Pelodiscus sinensis: one gene and its partner. Each later gene encodes a partner of the first gene's protein in a complex. Links are inferred from orthologs where the notes say so. Each region holds a gene or a part of one and is shown on either strand. Other genes may lie near its edges.

The links.
Region 2: GET4 (region 1) and UBL4A share a complex: the UniProt entries of both Homo sapiens proteins name them as parts of the BAG6/BAT3 complex. The link is inferred for Pelodiscus sinensis from reciprocal best matches to the Homo sapiens genes GET4 and UBL4A.

Annotation. Positions count from the first base shown.
Region 1 is NC_134726.1:26,321,243-26,328,658, reverse strand, and holds the start of GET4 (Golgi to ER traffic protein 4 homolog), read right to left. Parts: upstream 3,257-7,416; 5' UTR 3,138-3,256; coding exon 2,983-3,137; intron 2,298-2,982; exon of another isoform or gene 2,283-2,297; coding exon of another isoform or gene 2,260-2,282; intron 1-2,259. UniProt on the Homo sapiens protein: As part of a cytosolic protein quality control complex, the BAG6/BAT3 complex, maintains misfolded and hydrophobic patches-containing proteins in a soluble state and participates in their proper delivery to the endoplasmic reticulum or alternatively can promote their sorting to the proteasome where they undergo degradation.
Region 2 is NW_027465910.1:143,958-151,680, forward strand, and holds the start of UBL4A (ubiquitin-like protein 4A), read right to left. Parts: upstream 3,110-7,723; 5' UTR 3,001-3,109; coding exon 2,953-3,000; intron 1-2,952. Other genes in the region: SLC10A3 (P3 protein), read right to left, coding at 3,843-5,141. UniProt on the Homo sapiens protein: As part of a cytosolic protein quality control complex, the BAG6/BAT3 complex, maintains misfolded and hydrophobic patches-containing proteins in a soluble state and participates in their proper delivery to the endoplasmic reticulum or alternatively can promote their sorting to the proteasome where they undergo degradation.

The DNA of each region.
Region 1 (7,416 bases):
TGCGACAAAATTAAAAGAAACTTTTTATGTTGATGTAGATGGTGTCAACAGAAATATGTGGAGATGTATTGTTACATTTTGCAGCACCTGAGACTGGGTGCGAGCTGGGAATCAGCTGATTTCTGGCTCCCATCTGGTCCCCGTTGCTCCCCCGTCTCCCATGGAGATGGCCGCACTGTCTCCTGGTTCCCCTCCCTCCTTGCTCCCTCTGATAAAGGCAGCAAGATGGGGGAAGAAGCGACTAGTTGTGGGACTAGTTGACTATCTGATAAGCTTTTGCTTATTGGATAGTGACTAGTCACTTACGTCTCAGTAGGGATGTATCTAGACTCCTTCACAAACTAATATTAAATGCAAAAAAGAGTTTAAAAATAAAGTTTTACACAGTAGATGACAATTCAATATTATAACTGCCATGTACTTAAAGTAGTAATATAGTACAAGTACTGCACCATAAAGCAGACCTGTTATGTTACTCATTAGTAGGCAATTGGAACGTAAAACCCTGTTTAATAGGTTAACTGTTTAATGAGAATGGGCAGGAGGGGCTGCTCCAGCCTGACCAAAGGATCAGGAGCTGCTCCAGCACCCACCAGTTAACTGGAACTAATAAGCACCACCCATTAGGGTCATGCTCACAATTAACTTTTTGCATCCCAATAGACACAAAATGTGGAGGTGTCCACTTTAACCAAAAAATTCCTAAGTTCACTAAACATGGTGAGATATCAATATATTTTAAAGAGTCCTCAAATCAAGTTCTGCTTGATAATCCATCAATGTCACAAGAATCCAGACACCCACAAACTAGAATTACATCTGATTAGAGATTAAAAGCAGATCTGTATAGAGAGACTCTCTCACTACAGATGCATTTTAAGGCACATTTTAAATTCTTACTCTTCAAATGGAAGATTTGAGTGTACTTTAATGAAACATTTGATCAAAGTTTTTTTTTGTTTCTTAAATTCAAGTTGTAATTTTATGACAGCCCTAAAAAGCAGATTTGACTAAATCTGCACACTGTACATATCAATAATATGATTGAAAAGGAGAACATTTTGGAGCAAAGGACACAAAAAAAGTTTACAGCTACTAAGAATATCTGTAACTACCAGATGCTAACTTCTTTATCTAGCATGAGGTTTATTGAAGAACTACTAATTCAATCACAATAATAATAAACACTCTGTCCTACTATTCTTCTATCTGGGGATGTCAAAGTCCTTTACAAATGTCAATTAAGTCCTTCAGCAGCTTGTTTTAATATAGTTAACCTTGAAATAACTTTTTTCCTGTCTTTCTCTTCTGCATCTGAGGAAATGAGTTATAGCTTACAAAAGCATATGCTCCAATATCCTAATAAATTGGTTAGTCTTTAAGGTGTCACCAGATTTTGTTGTTTTTACTGAAACAAACTAATTCAACTACCTCTCTGAAATCTGACAAGAAACTACTCCTCATGGACTCACATTCTTTAATCCTTCTGAAAATATAACCTCATCCTTTTAACTTTAAGTATCCCTGAAAGGAATGGAAGAAACTGACAAGGTGGAAGAGGGATAATGTAACATCCATTTATGATTTTCTTAATAGAAAAGTGGCGAGGAGTCCTGTGGCACCTTATAGACTAACTGAAGTGTAGGAGCATAAGCTTTCGTGGGCAAAGACTCACTTCATCAGGTGCATCTGACGAAGTGGGTCTTTGCCCAGGAAAGCTTATGCTCCTACACTTCAGTTAGTCTATAAGGTGCCACAGGACTCCTCGCCGCTTTTGCAGATTCAGACTAACACGGCTACCCCTCTGCTGCTTAATAGAAAAGGTGCAACATCACCTCTCTTTCTATTGGTTAAAGAAAGAGTGGAGACCCCCTTCCGATAGGACTGGCCTTAGGATGCCAAGTTGCTGGAGCAAATTGGCATACGAAGGTGCAGTGGGGAACAGGGTAGAAAAAATAAGCAAGGAATCTTCTCCAATCCTGCTTGCTCCAAGGCAAGCCTATATGCAACGCTAAACAGCCAGAAAAGAATGAGAAAATGAGGCATCTGCTTTTGGGCCCAATTTCTGTTGAGACTGCATGGGGCTCTCTAGAAGTGCAAGATGACAGTCTAACACAGCAGTAGAATACAAACATGGGAGAAATTGAGGGCCCCATGGGAGTAGGGGGCCCTTCCACAAGGCATCCAGCCCCCATGATGCCACATCTGACTGGTGGTGAAGAGCTAGGCAAGAAGGGATGTACGGAGTTAACTGATCACCTGCTAAGCAGCCTTCCTAGCATGTTTACCAGGGTAACCCCTTAACCGGCTGCTCCAGCTCGGCCGGGGCCACCATGCTGCAGGCGGGGGTCCACTGCAGCCTGGCCGGGGTGGGTGGGGGGGGGGGGGGGGAACAGCCCCTGGCCTGTTAACCTTTAAACCGTGATCTTACGTCCGCTGCCTCCCCTCCCAGGCCACTCGCTCTGGGGTGGAGCGCGACCCCGATCGTCAGCTCCCAGCCCCCAGCCTCCGCGGGTGGCCGCGGCCCCGTGTGGGTGACAAAACGGGGGGCCAGTCTCCAGACCTGCTGGCCAGGGAGTCCCAAGGCAACAGACGCCGGCCTCCCCCTATTAACATCTGTCTTTGGGGAGGCCCCCCCCTCACTAACCCCCCCCCCCGCCAAGAGCCCCCGGCCCCGCCCCCTTCGCTCTGCCTCTGCAGCTCCCCTCGGCGCTCTCGAAGGGGGGGGGAAGGCCGGACACCTGGGGGGGGGGCGCGTAGAGAGAATTCTACCCCCTTCCCCTGCAAGCCGCCTCCCCCCCTACGCACTTCACGCTGCCCTGCACGGCGAGCGCCTCCCCGTTCTCGTCCAATCAGCGGGCGAACGCATGAGACGGACAAGCCGCGCGGCCAATCGCACGGGCCGGGCGCGCAGGCAGCAGGCTAGTGTGCGCGCTCGGAAGGCTCTGGAAGGGGCCAGAGGGAAGGGTGGCCGGGCTGTACCTGAAGAAGAGAGTCCGGTACATCTGGTGCGCCTCGTAGTATTCGCCCTTCTCCACGCTGGCGCGGAGCTTCCCTTCCACCCGCTGCACCCCACCCCGGTTCCGCCCGCCGCCGCCCTTGGCGGCCTCCTGCTCCGCCATCATCGCCGCCGCCATGGATGCGGGGAGGGCGGGCGGAGAGACACGGGCCAGGCCCCGCCGCTGCCTGCTACACACAGGCCCTTCTGCCCGGGCCGGCTTCCGTCAGCCCCGCCCACCGAGCGAGACGGCAGCCTGGGCGGGCCAGTGCCCGCAGCGCAGCTTCGCGGTGGCGTCACGCAGCGCTGGGCGGGGCCAAGAGATGATGGGGGGGGGGGGGGGTAGATGGCTCTGGTGGGACTTGTTCAGCTGCGTTTGCTCCCCTCTGACTGGAACGTGGCCTCTTCCTATTCACTGTAGCACGAGGCGGGGCGTGCAGCCTGGCTGCGCTGGAGGGGCTGAGCAGAGGTGAATTGTGAGCTCACCTGCAGCCACCTCCCATCTTAACAAAGCCAAGCGGTGCCCCCTGTGAGCGCAGGACCAGGGCACAGAGTGACCCTACTTTCCAAACCAAAAATCAGGACACGTGATCTGACACAGGATTTTTTTTTCTGATTTGTGAGCAGGCTGGGGGCACAGGGTGTGGGGTGGAGAGTGAGCAGGCTGGGGGCCCAGGGTGTGGGGTGGAGAGTGAGCAGGCTGGGGGCACAGGATGTGGGGTGGAGAGTGAGCAGGCTGGGGGCACAGGATGTGGGGTGGAGAGTGAGCAGGCTGGGGGCCCAGGGTGTGGGAGGAGAGTGAGCAGGCTGGGGGCCCAGGGTGTGGGGTGGAGAGTGAGCAGGCTGGGGGCCCAGGGTGTGGGAGGAGAGTGAGCAGGCTGGGGGCCCAGGGTGTGGGGTGGAGAGTGAGCAGGCTGGGGGCCCAGGGTGTGGGAGGAGAGTGAGCAGGCTGGGGGCACAGGGTGTGGGGTGGAGAGTGAGCAGGCTGGGGGCCCAGGGTGTGGGAGGAGAGTGAGCAGGCTGGGGGCCCAGGGTGTGGGAGGAGAGTGAGCAGGCTGGGGGCCCAGGGTGTGGGAGGAGAGTGAGCAGGCTGGGGGCCCAGGGTGTGGGGTGGAGAGTGAGCAGGCTGGGGGCCCAGGGTGTGGGGTGGAGAGTGAGCAGGCTGGGGGCCCAGGGTGTGGGAGGAGAGTGAGCAGGCTGGGGGCCCAGGGTGTGGGGTGGAGAGTGAGCAGGCTGGGGGCCCAGGGTGTGGGGTGGAGAGTGAGCAGGCTGGGGGCCCAGGGTGTGGGGTGGAGAGTGAGCAGGCTGGGGGCCCAGGGTGTGGGAGGAGAGTGAGCAGGCTGGGGGCACAGGGTGTGGGTGGAGAGTGAGCAGGCTGGGGGCACAGGGTGTGGGGTGGAGAGTGAGCAGGCTGGGGGCCCAGGGTGTGGGAGGAGAGTGAGCAGGCTGGGGGCACAGGGTGTGGGTGGAGAGTGAGCAGGCTGGGGGCACAGGGTGTGGGGTGGAGAGTGAGCAGGCTGGGGGCCCAGGGTGTGGGAGGAGAGTGAGCAGGCTGGGGGCCCAGGGTGTGGGTGGAGAGTGAGCAGGCTGGGGGCCCAGGGTGTGGGAGGAGAGTGAGCAGGCTGGGGGCACAGGGTGTGGGAGGAGAGTGAGCAGGCTGGGGGCACAGGGTGTGGGAGGAGAGTGAGCAGGCTGGGGGCACAGGGTGTGGGGTGGAGAGTGAGCAGGCTGGGGGCACAGGGTGTGGGAGGAGAGTGAGCAGGCTGGGGGCACAGGGTGTGGGTGGAGAGTGAGCAGGCTGGGGGCCCAGGGTGTGGGTGGAGAGTGAGCAGGCTGGGGGCACAGGGTGTGGGAGGAGAGTGAGCAGGCTGGGGGCACAGGGTGTGGGGTGGAGAGTGAGCAGGCTGGGGGCACAGGGTGTGGGAGGAGAGTGAGCAGGCTGGGGGCACAGGGTGTGGGGTGGAGAGTGAGCAGGCTGGGGGCACAGGGTGTGGGGTGGAGAGTGAGCAGGCTGGGGGCACAGGGTGTGGGTGGAGAGTGAGCAGGCTGGGGGCACAGGGTGTGGGTGGAGAGTGAGCAGGCTGGGGGCCCAGGGTGTGGGTGGAGAGTGAGCAGGCTGGGGGCCCAGGGTGTGGGAGGAGAGTGAGCAGGCTGGGGGCCCAGGGTGTGGGAGGAGAGTGAGCAGGCTGGGGGCCCAGGGTGTGGGAGGAGAGTGAGCAGGCTGGGGGCCCAGGGTGTGGGAGGAGAGTGAGCAGGCTGGGGGCCCAGGGTGTGGGTGGAGAGTGAGCAGGCTGGGGGCACAGGGTGTGGGTGGAGAGTGAGCAGGCTGGGGGCCCAGGGTGTGGGTGGAGAGTGAGCAGCCTGGGGGCCCAGGGTCTGCACAGGCTAGGGGAGTGGGGTCTCCAGGAAAGCGACCAGCAAGCGGGCTGGGGTTGCGGGGTCTGGGCACGAGGGGCTACTAACACCATGCCCCATCTCCCGCTGCTGTTATGGGCCAGATTCCGGAGCAGTGGGATGCGTTCCTGTTCCCCTGGGAAGGGGAGGGAAAGTGGCAGCACATGGAGCCGCTACTAGCTGTGCTTCTTCCCCACAAGCCGGATCCAGTGGGGAGTCTCGAGGCTCTCTCCCCAGCCCTTCCAAAATATTTGCCAAAATATTTGAAATTCTGGGACATTTCGATGGTTTATGGGGAGAATGGGACAGAATGTTTGAAATCAAGAAATACGGTCGGCATAATAATAGAGAATCAGTGTGCATATGGTTTTGTCAATACAATTGTATAGTCATGACACACTGATGTTAAAAAATACGATGACAAAATTACATACTATGAGTCACCTTTTTGAAACAACTACATCAAAGCCAGCTAATGATGGCAACATGGTCCATATAAATGGCAAAATTCACATGTTCTAGGATATTGGTGACCAACATGACATAACTGAATTCTTAGGCCACAGCAAAAATGTGTCTATCTAAAACTTCCATCCCCAGTTGCTCAGCTTTCACTCTTTAGTGAGGTAAATTTTACTAGCCTGCAGTCACGTGAGACTTCCAGGGTAGAGGATATCTGAATTTCTAGTTCTCTCTCCAGTTCCTTGTTCGTATTCTTCCATTTTTTAAATTAATAAAACATTTACTTTGTACATCATTGGGAGCAAAACCCAATTTCTTTTTGCAAGTTAATGTTAAATATTTCTGAAAAAAACAATGCTTGGCACTTACATAAGATTTCCAAAGAAACAATCTAGTGTCAAGAGCAGATTCTGGAGTCTAATGAACAAGCATAAATGGAGGAAAAACTAGCAGAATAATGCAATGCACTAGGAACATCCCATCTAGGTTTCTGACTACAGCTTTGGAAAATTCACCAAACTCCTCTGCCGCCACATCCCAGCCTTTATACTGAGCCCACTTTTTGTACAATGTTGTGCAAATACGTAAATTCCCACACGATCAATAAAGCTCAACTGTGTATCTGTCAACTGAGTCTTGTTCCAGACAGGGAAAACAAGAGGGATGACATAGCAAATACTTTCCTGATACCATATTATACATGGCGTGATGCACATGACCTGTGTTGTAAACTTTACAACTTTTGATCTGAATAGCCTAACATAGACTTGAGAATGATTTCTCTGAAAGGTTTCAACAAATTTTATTCCACTAGAGGGCAGATGTTTACACATACAAATTTTGTGCAAGAAACAAAATGAAACCTTGAGGAATTTTGTTCAAATGCAGCCTAGTGGAGTTGCAACCAAATACCATTTTCTTAATTTTGCTAATTATATTAAGTGACAGAAAGGGCAAGTTTAAATGTATAATTTTGTCTGACAATCTGCAGCTTTTTTACTCAACATCACTGTGTGTTTAGCTGTGTCTTGTTTAGAGTGTTGCAATAGCATGGTACTTAAGTAAACAAAACTAATGGCTGGTTGAATTTTTTGGGGTAAAGGTACATAACCTTGCCTGCTTGTTGACACAGACAGCTTGAGGTTTTAGGTGAGCACTAAGTGAAACATTTGACACTTCACAAATAAAAACAAACTTCTGTGCACAAATGTTATTTGCAATAGTGTGTTGCTACAGACTCATGAGTTTACTTTGATCCCCTTCAGTCCGCAACAGAAGGTAATCTGGATATTTCCCCTGTAGTTGCAAAATACTTAAGTGCATTTGTCAGTAGAACTTGCAGTGATGTCAGACAATACAGAGATGCTTCTTTACTCTCAAGGGGTATGTCTACACTACCCAGGGGCTGTGTCTACACTGGCATCCTTTTCCGGAAAAGGGATGCTAATGAGACACTTCGGAATTGCAAATCCGCGGGGGATTTAAATATCCCCCGCGGCATTTGCATTTACATGGCTGCCGCTTTTTTCCGGCTCGGGGTTTTTGCTGGAGAAAAGCGCCAG
Region 2 (7,723 bases), on another chromosome or scaffold:
GCCTCCCAGACACTCCATTGCAAACCCTCCTCTCCTGCCTCCCCGACACCTCCCCAAAACCCTCCTCTCCAGCCCCCGACACCTCCCCAAAACCCTCCCCCTCCGGCCCCCGACACTCCCCCGCAAACCCTCCTCTCTTGCCTCCCCGACACCTCCCCAAAACCCTCCCCCTCCGGCCCCCGACACTCCCCCGCAAACCCTCCTCTCCTGCCCCCGACACCTCCCCAAAACCCTCCCCCTCCGGCCCCCGACACCTCCCCAAAACCCTCCTCTCCAGCCCCCGACACCTCCCCAAAACCCTCCCCCTCCGGCCCCCGACACTCCCCCGCAAACCCTCCTCTCCTGCCTCCCCGACACTCCCCCGCAAACCCTCCTCTCTTGCCTCCCCGACACCTCTCCAAAACCCTCCCCCTCCGGCCCCCGACACTCCCCCGCAAACCCTCCTCTCCTGCCCCCGACGCCTCCCCAAAACCCTCCCCCTCCGGCCCCCGACACTCCCCCGCAAACCCTCCTCTCCTGCCTCCCCGACACCTCCCCAAAACCCTCCCCCTCCGGCCCCCGACACTCCCCCGCAAACACTCCTCTCCTGCCTCCCCGACACCCCCCTAAAACCCTCCCCCTCCGGCCCCCGACACTCCCCCACAAACACTCCTCTCCTGCCTCCCCGACACCCCCCTAAAACCCTCCCCCTACGGCCCCCGACACTCCCCCGCAAACACTCCTCTCCTGCCTCCCCGACACCCCCCTAAAACCCTCCCCCTCCGGCCCCCGACACTCCCCCGCAAACACTCCTCTCCTGCCTCCCCGACACCCCCCTGCAAACCCTCCTCTCCTGGCTCCCCGACACCTCCCCAAAACCCTCCCCCTCCCGCCCCCGACACTCCCCCGCAAACACTCCTCTCCTGCCTCCCCGACACCCCCCCGCAAACCCTCCTCTCCTGCCTCCCCGACACCTCCCCAAAACCCTCCCCCTCCGGCCCCCGACACTCCCCCGCAAACACTCCTCTCCTGCCTCCCCGACACCTCCCCAAAACCCTCCCCCTCCGGCCCCCGACAATCCCCCGCAAACACTCCTCTCCTGCCTCCCCGACACTCCCCCGCAAACACTCCTCTCTTGCCTCCCCGACACCTCCCCAAAACCCTCCCCCTCCGGCCCCCGACACTCCCCCGCAAACCCTCCTCTCCTGCCCCCGACACCTCCCCAAAACCCTCCCCCTCCGGCCCCCGACACTCCCCCGCAAACCCTCCTCTCCTGCCCCCGACACCTCCCCAAAACCCTCCCCCTCCGGCCCCCGACACTCCCCCGCAAACCCTCCTCTCCTGCCTCCCCGACACCCCCCTGCAAACCCTCCTCTCCTGCCTCCCCGACACCTCCCCAAAACCCTCCCCCTCCGGCCCCCGATACTCCCCCGCAAACACTCCTCTCCTGCCTCCCCGACATCCCCCTAAAACCCTCCCCCTCCGGCCCCCGACACTCCCCCGCAAACACTCCTCTCCTGCCTCCCCGACACCCCCCTAAAACCCTCCCCCTCCGGCCCCCGACAATCCCCCGCAAACACTCCTCTCCTGCCTCCCCGACACCCCCCTGCAAACCCTCCTCTCCTGCCTCCCCGACACCCCCCTAAAACCCTCCCCCTCCGGCCCCCGACACTCCCCCGCAAACACTCCTCTCCTGCCTCCCCGACACCCCCCTAAAACCCTCCCCCTCCGGCCCCCGACACTCCCCCGCAAACACTCCTCTCCTGCCTCCCCGACACCCCCCTAAAACCCTCCCCCTCCGGCCCCTGACACTCCCCCGCAAACCCTCCTCTCCTGCCTCCCCGACAACCCCCTGCAAACCCTCCCCCTCCGGCCCCCGACACTCCCCCGCAAACACTCCTCTCCTGCCTCCCCGACACTCCCCCGCAAACACTCCTCTCCTGCCTCCCAGACACTCCATTGCAAACCCTCCTCTCCTGCCTCCCCGACACCTCCCCAAAACCCTCCTCTCCAGCCCCCGACACCTCCCCAAAACCCTCCCCCTCCGGCCCCCGACACTCCCCCGCAAACCCTCCTCTCCTGCCTCCCCGACACTCCCCCGCAAACCCTCCTCTCTTGCCTCCCCGACACCTCCCCAAAACCCTCCCCCTCCGGCCCCCGACACTCCCCCGCAAACCCTCCTCTCCTGCCCCCGACACCTCCCCAAAACCCTCCCCCTCCGGCCCCCGACACTCCCCCGCAAACCCTCCTCTCCTGCCCCCGACACCTCCCCAAAACCCTCCCCCTCCGGCCCCCGACACTCCCCCGCAAACCCTCCTCTCCTGCCTCCCCGACACCCCCCTGCAAACCCTCCTCTCCTGCCTCCCCGACACCTCCCCAAAACCCTCCCCCTCCGGCCCCCGATACTCCCCCGCAAACACTCCTCTCCTGCCTCCCCGACATCCCCCTAAAACCCTCCCCCTCCGGCCCCCGACACTCCCCCGCAAACACTCCTCTCCTGCCTCCCCGACACCCCCCTAAAACCCTCCCCCTCCGGCCCCCGACAATCCCCCGCAAACACTCCTCTCCTGCCTCCCCGACACCCCCCTGCAAACCCTCCTCTCCTGCCTCCCCGACACCCCCCTAAAACCCTCCCCCTCCCGCCCCCGACACTCCCCCGCAAACACTCCTCTCCTGCCTCCCCGACACCCCCCTAAAACCCTCCCCCTCCGGCCCCCGACACTCCCCCGCAAACACTCCTCTCCTGCCTCCCCGACACTCCCCCGCAAACACTCCTCTCCTGCCTCCCCGACACCCCCCTAAAACCCTCCCCCTCCGGCCCCCGACACTCCCCCGCAAACCCTCCTCTCCTGCCTCCCCCACACCTCCCCAAAACTCTCCTCTCCCGATCCCTGACACCCCCCCCCCCGCAAACCCTCCTCTCCCGCCCCCCGACACCCCCCCGCAAACCCGCCCCCCGACAGCCCCCCCCACCTGGAGGCTGCATCCCCGGCCCTGAAGCGCCTTCACCGTGAGCAGCATCGCGCAGCCCGGAGCGGCCCCTTTAACGGCACCATAGACGCCCGGAGGGAAGCGGGCTTAGAGCGACCGCCACGGAACCATAGAGCCGGAAGAGGCGCGTAGAGCGTCACGTGTCATAGAGTGTCAGTGCCTTGGAGCCTAGAGTGGCCGGGGCCATAGTGCGCCGCGGCTCGTACCATAGAGTCTCGGGCCCGAACATTGGCTCCTGTAGCCTAGACTGGAGCCGCGGCGGGCGCAGGGCTAGAGTGTCCCTGTTGTACCATAGAGATCCAAACGCAGCGCGGATAGAGCGGACATTCCCTCCCCGCCGCACTCGCGACTATTCTGGCCTGGCCCCAGCACCATAGAGTCTATTCTGCGGGGGGAGGGGAGAGCGGCCAAGTAGAGAGAGGCGCCCCCAGAGCCGGGACCTCCCACTGGCCCCGCCCCCAGCCCCCGACTCCGCCCCCAAGCTGGCTGTGAATGGCACCAGCGTTGAGCCTCCACCAATAACAGCTCCATGCACAAACTTGCTCTTTCTCCTTTATTGGCCCCTTCCCCTCCCTTAACAGCCTGTGTGGCCCCCTCCCTGAGGACCATTGCCAGCCACACAGAAAACACAGTATAAAATGAGGCTGGGTGTTCAGGGGCCCAACATGAGACTTTGGTTTCCTACTGCCCCCACTGGGAGGGGCCCCTGGGGTGAGCCCCTTGTACAGCAGGTCCCTGAATCTGCCTGTCTCTGCCCCCCAACAGCAGGGTGCTCAGCTCCTAGGGCAGCCCAGCCCTGCAGTAGAGGGGCACTCAGTGCTTAGGGCTGCCCAGCCCCCAGCAGGACCCATTCCTTCTCACAGATGGGGCACTCAGGGACTGGCAGATGGCTGCAGCTTCTTGTAGAGGAGATGGGCCAGCACTAGCACCAGCATCTCAGCCGTGCTGCTCAGGGCCACCACGAAGGGGGCCTGGGAGGCATAGTCAGCCTGGCGACGGCGGAAAGATAACTGCAGCACAGCCAGTGCCAGCAAGCTGTTCTGCACTCCCACCTCAATGCTGACTGTGCGGCAGTGTGGGCCTGGCAACCGCAGGCAGGCAGCCAAGAGGTAACCCAGCCCCAGGCCAACGAGGGGCACGGTGAGCCCGGCCAGCACCACTGGGGGCTCCACCTCAGCCAGGATGACGGCTCCCATGTGGTAGGCCAGGAGGAGTCCACCCAGGATGAGGGCAAAACTGAAGGGTTTGATGAGCAGCAGCAGCAGGCGGGCCACGCGGGGCAGCTTCCACTTCACCAGCAGCCCAGCCGATATGGGCACCGCAATGAAGAGCAGTGTGCCCACGATCTTGGCGAAGGGCACGTGCAGGCTGGGGTGGGCACTCAGCAGGCGCCCATAAAGGGCCGAGGAGAGCGGCATGAGCCCAGCGGCTGCCACAGTGGACAGCAGTGTCATGGCAATCGCCAGGGTCACGTTGCCACCCAGCAGCAGGCTGTAGAGGTAGCCACCACCCCCACCTGGTGAGGAGCAGGTGACAACCAGCCCCAGTGCCAGCGCCGGGGGGAGGGCAAAGGCCAGCGAGAGGAGGTAGCCATAGAGTGGCATAGCAATAAACTGGCCCACAATGCCCAGGAGCACGGGCTGTGGCTGGCGCGCCAGCTCCCGCAGCGCCTCCAGCTCCACCTTGCAGCCGAAGGCACACTTGTTGACAAAGATGAGGGGCAGCAGAGCATAAAGCAACGGGTTCTCTGAGAAGTGGCCCAGGCCTGGGTGCCCTGGCTCCTCACTCGCCATCACCCGCACCCGGAACTCGCCCCGCTCCTCCACCAGCTGATGCTGGTCCAGCAGGCGCAGCCGAAGTGGTGCCAGCCCAGCTGGGCCTGAGCGGATGGCCACCAGGAAACCGCCTGCTCCACAGCACAAAGCACTCACGTTCTCCACAGTCAGCACCGCAGGTGCCAATGAGGCCGCACTGAGCCGGGCACCACTTGCTGTCCCATTGGTGCCCAAGTACCGGCTGGACACGACCATGACACCCCGGCTCCTCTCAGGGAAGTCAAACTCCAGGGCACTGCCATCACCCACACTCAGGTACCTGCCAGCTGGCTGCCCCCAGCTGGCCCAGGTCCAGCGGCCCAGCCCCAGCAGCAGCAGTGCCAGGGCTTGAGCCATGCCGGAGCACTCACGGCTCATGGGCATCTGGCCTCCTCCAGGTCCGGCACATCGGGACGTTCCCGGCCAGCAGGTGCAGGTCTGGATGCTCTGGTGCCTGTGGGAGTGGAGGGGCAGAGGTGAGAAGAGGAGCCCAGGCTGGAGGTGGCAGGGTTGGATGCCACCCCCCACCAGAGAACTGGGGGGAGGGGGAGTGTGGACCCACGCTGTGGGGCAGGGGGCAATGTGCAGAGCTATGGGGTGGGGAGGGGGCAGGGGTGTGGAGTTATGGGACGCAGGGAGGGGTTGTGAGGCGGGGCGGGGCTGTGAGGTGAGGGGGGAGTTTACGGGGCGGGGGATGCTCCCTCCCCCTGCAGCCAGAGAGCCCCCCCGCCCCGGCCCACACCTGACACCGACCCGCGGACCAGTCTTGACTCGGCTGCGTCCGGCTTCCTTCGGCCCCGCCCCACGTTCACGTCACAGGGGTGGTCCCGCCCCACGGGCATGACCTCACTAAGGTCTAGCCCACCACGGAAGTGCCGAAGCGCGCCCCCTAGAGGGCGGTGCCTGGGACCGGAAGAGCGCGCACCTGAGAGGGCGGGGCTCGCTGTCCGCTGGCTGGCTGGAATCCTGCGGTGTGCGCGCGCGTGGGGCAGTTAGGGGACGGAGGGCAGATAGGGCGGGGCTCAGAGAATCCGGGGCGCTGATTGGTTAAGATGGGGCACGTGGCTGCTCATTAGCGGCTCCTGGCGCTTCCTTAACGCCCCCATAGCAGCGAGCCCCGCCCTGTGATTGGCGGGGCTCAGGGGCCCCCGCCCTGTGATTGGCCAGGCTCAGGGGACCCCCGCCCTGTGATTGGCGGGGCTCAGGGGCCCCCGCCATGTGATTGGCCAGGCTCAGGGGCCCCCCGCCCTGTGATTGGCAGGGCTGAGGGGCCCCCGCCATGTGATTGGCGGAGCTCAGGGGCCCCCGCCCTGTGATTGGCAGGGCTCAGGGGCCCCCGCCCTGTGATTGGCTAGGCTCAGGGGCCCCCGCCCTGTGACTGGCGGGGCTCAGGGGCCCCCGCCATGTGATTGGCCAGGCTCAGGGGCCCCCGCCCTGTGATTGGCAGGGCTCAGAGGCCCCCCCGCCCTGTATTGGCCAGGCTCAGGGGCCCCCTGCCCTGAGATTGGCAGGGCTCAGGGGCCCCCGCCCTGTGATTGGCCAGGCTCAGGGGCCCCCGCCCTGTGATTGGCAGGGCTCAGCCCCCCCCCCCCCACCATGTGCCTTTTCTCCCACTACACTGGCCGGGGGGAGGCTGGTCTCCTGGCTCAGCCCCATGGGGGGGGGGGTGCAGCGCGAGGGGTCTTTGGCCCGCCAGGCATCGCCCTGTGTCCAGGAGGGTCCCCAGCAGGGGAGCCACCAAGGGCCCCGGAGGCAGTACGAGCAGGAGGATCAAAGCCTGAGAGTGGAGAGGCCTGGTGAATCAATGGCGGAGCATCCCGGAGTTTTGGACTCGTCTCAACACACTGGCCCCACCCAGGCTGCCCCCACGAGGACCAAGCCCCAGACTCTACAAGGCTCTTGCTTAGGTGAGCGAGCACAGCCGGGGGACAGAGTGATGGTGTCCAAAGGCAGAAGGCTCAGAGAAGAGCCCTGCAAATGACCAAGGGCTAGAAAACCAGCCTTCTAGCTAGCGACTCCAGGAGCACAGTTGGAACCACTGTCCCAGAATAAATGAACTGAACAGAGAATCATCTAGTGACCCATCCCCGGCTTCTGAAAGAGGCTAGGGAGACCCTTCCTACTCCCCTGGCTAACAGCCATTGATGGACCTGCCTCCATGAACTCGTCTAGCTCTTTATTGAACCCTGCCTTAGTTTTGGCCTCCACGACATCTTTTGGCAAGGAGTTACACATGTTCATTGTGTGTTGTGTATGGAAAAACTTCTTGCTTTAAACCTGCCACCTATTATTTGGTGACACCTAGTTCTTCTGCTATGAAGAGGCATGTAACAATTCCATATTTACTGTCTCCACACCAGTCATGATTTTATAGACCTCTAGCATATCTCCTCCCCCTTAGTTGCGTCTTTTCCACGTGCAGAAGTCCCAGTCTTTTTTGATCTCTCCTACAGAAGCTGCTCCAAACCCTAATAATTTCCAGGGTTTGACAATTTAGGTAATCTACTCGCCATGGGCGAACAGATTATAGCCTGGCACGGTGCCACAGCACAATCAGTGCATGCACAGCGGTCTGCACATGCGCAGCTAGCGAGCGGAGCTCGCCGCGGCTTGGCAAGCCCTGATCATTTCTGTTGCTTTTTAAAAAACTTTTACAATTCCAAGGGTGACCCCAGCTGCACACAGTATCTTAGATGTAGGCCTACCATGGATTGCCAGAGAGACACTGTCGTACTAGCTATCTCTTTGATTCCCAACATTGTTTGCATTTTGCCTGCTGCTGCACATAGAGAGGTCTCTGATGAAGGCTGGAAACCAGCAGCCTCACTGTGCAGATTGAGTCAGGGGGCCATATTAGCTGGTATCACTTGCAAGGGGGCTCAGTCAGTTGATGGAGTGTTTTCACTTTGCATTTAACAACACAATTTCATCTCCCACTT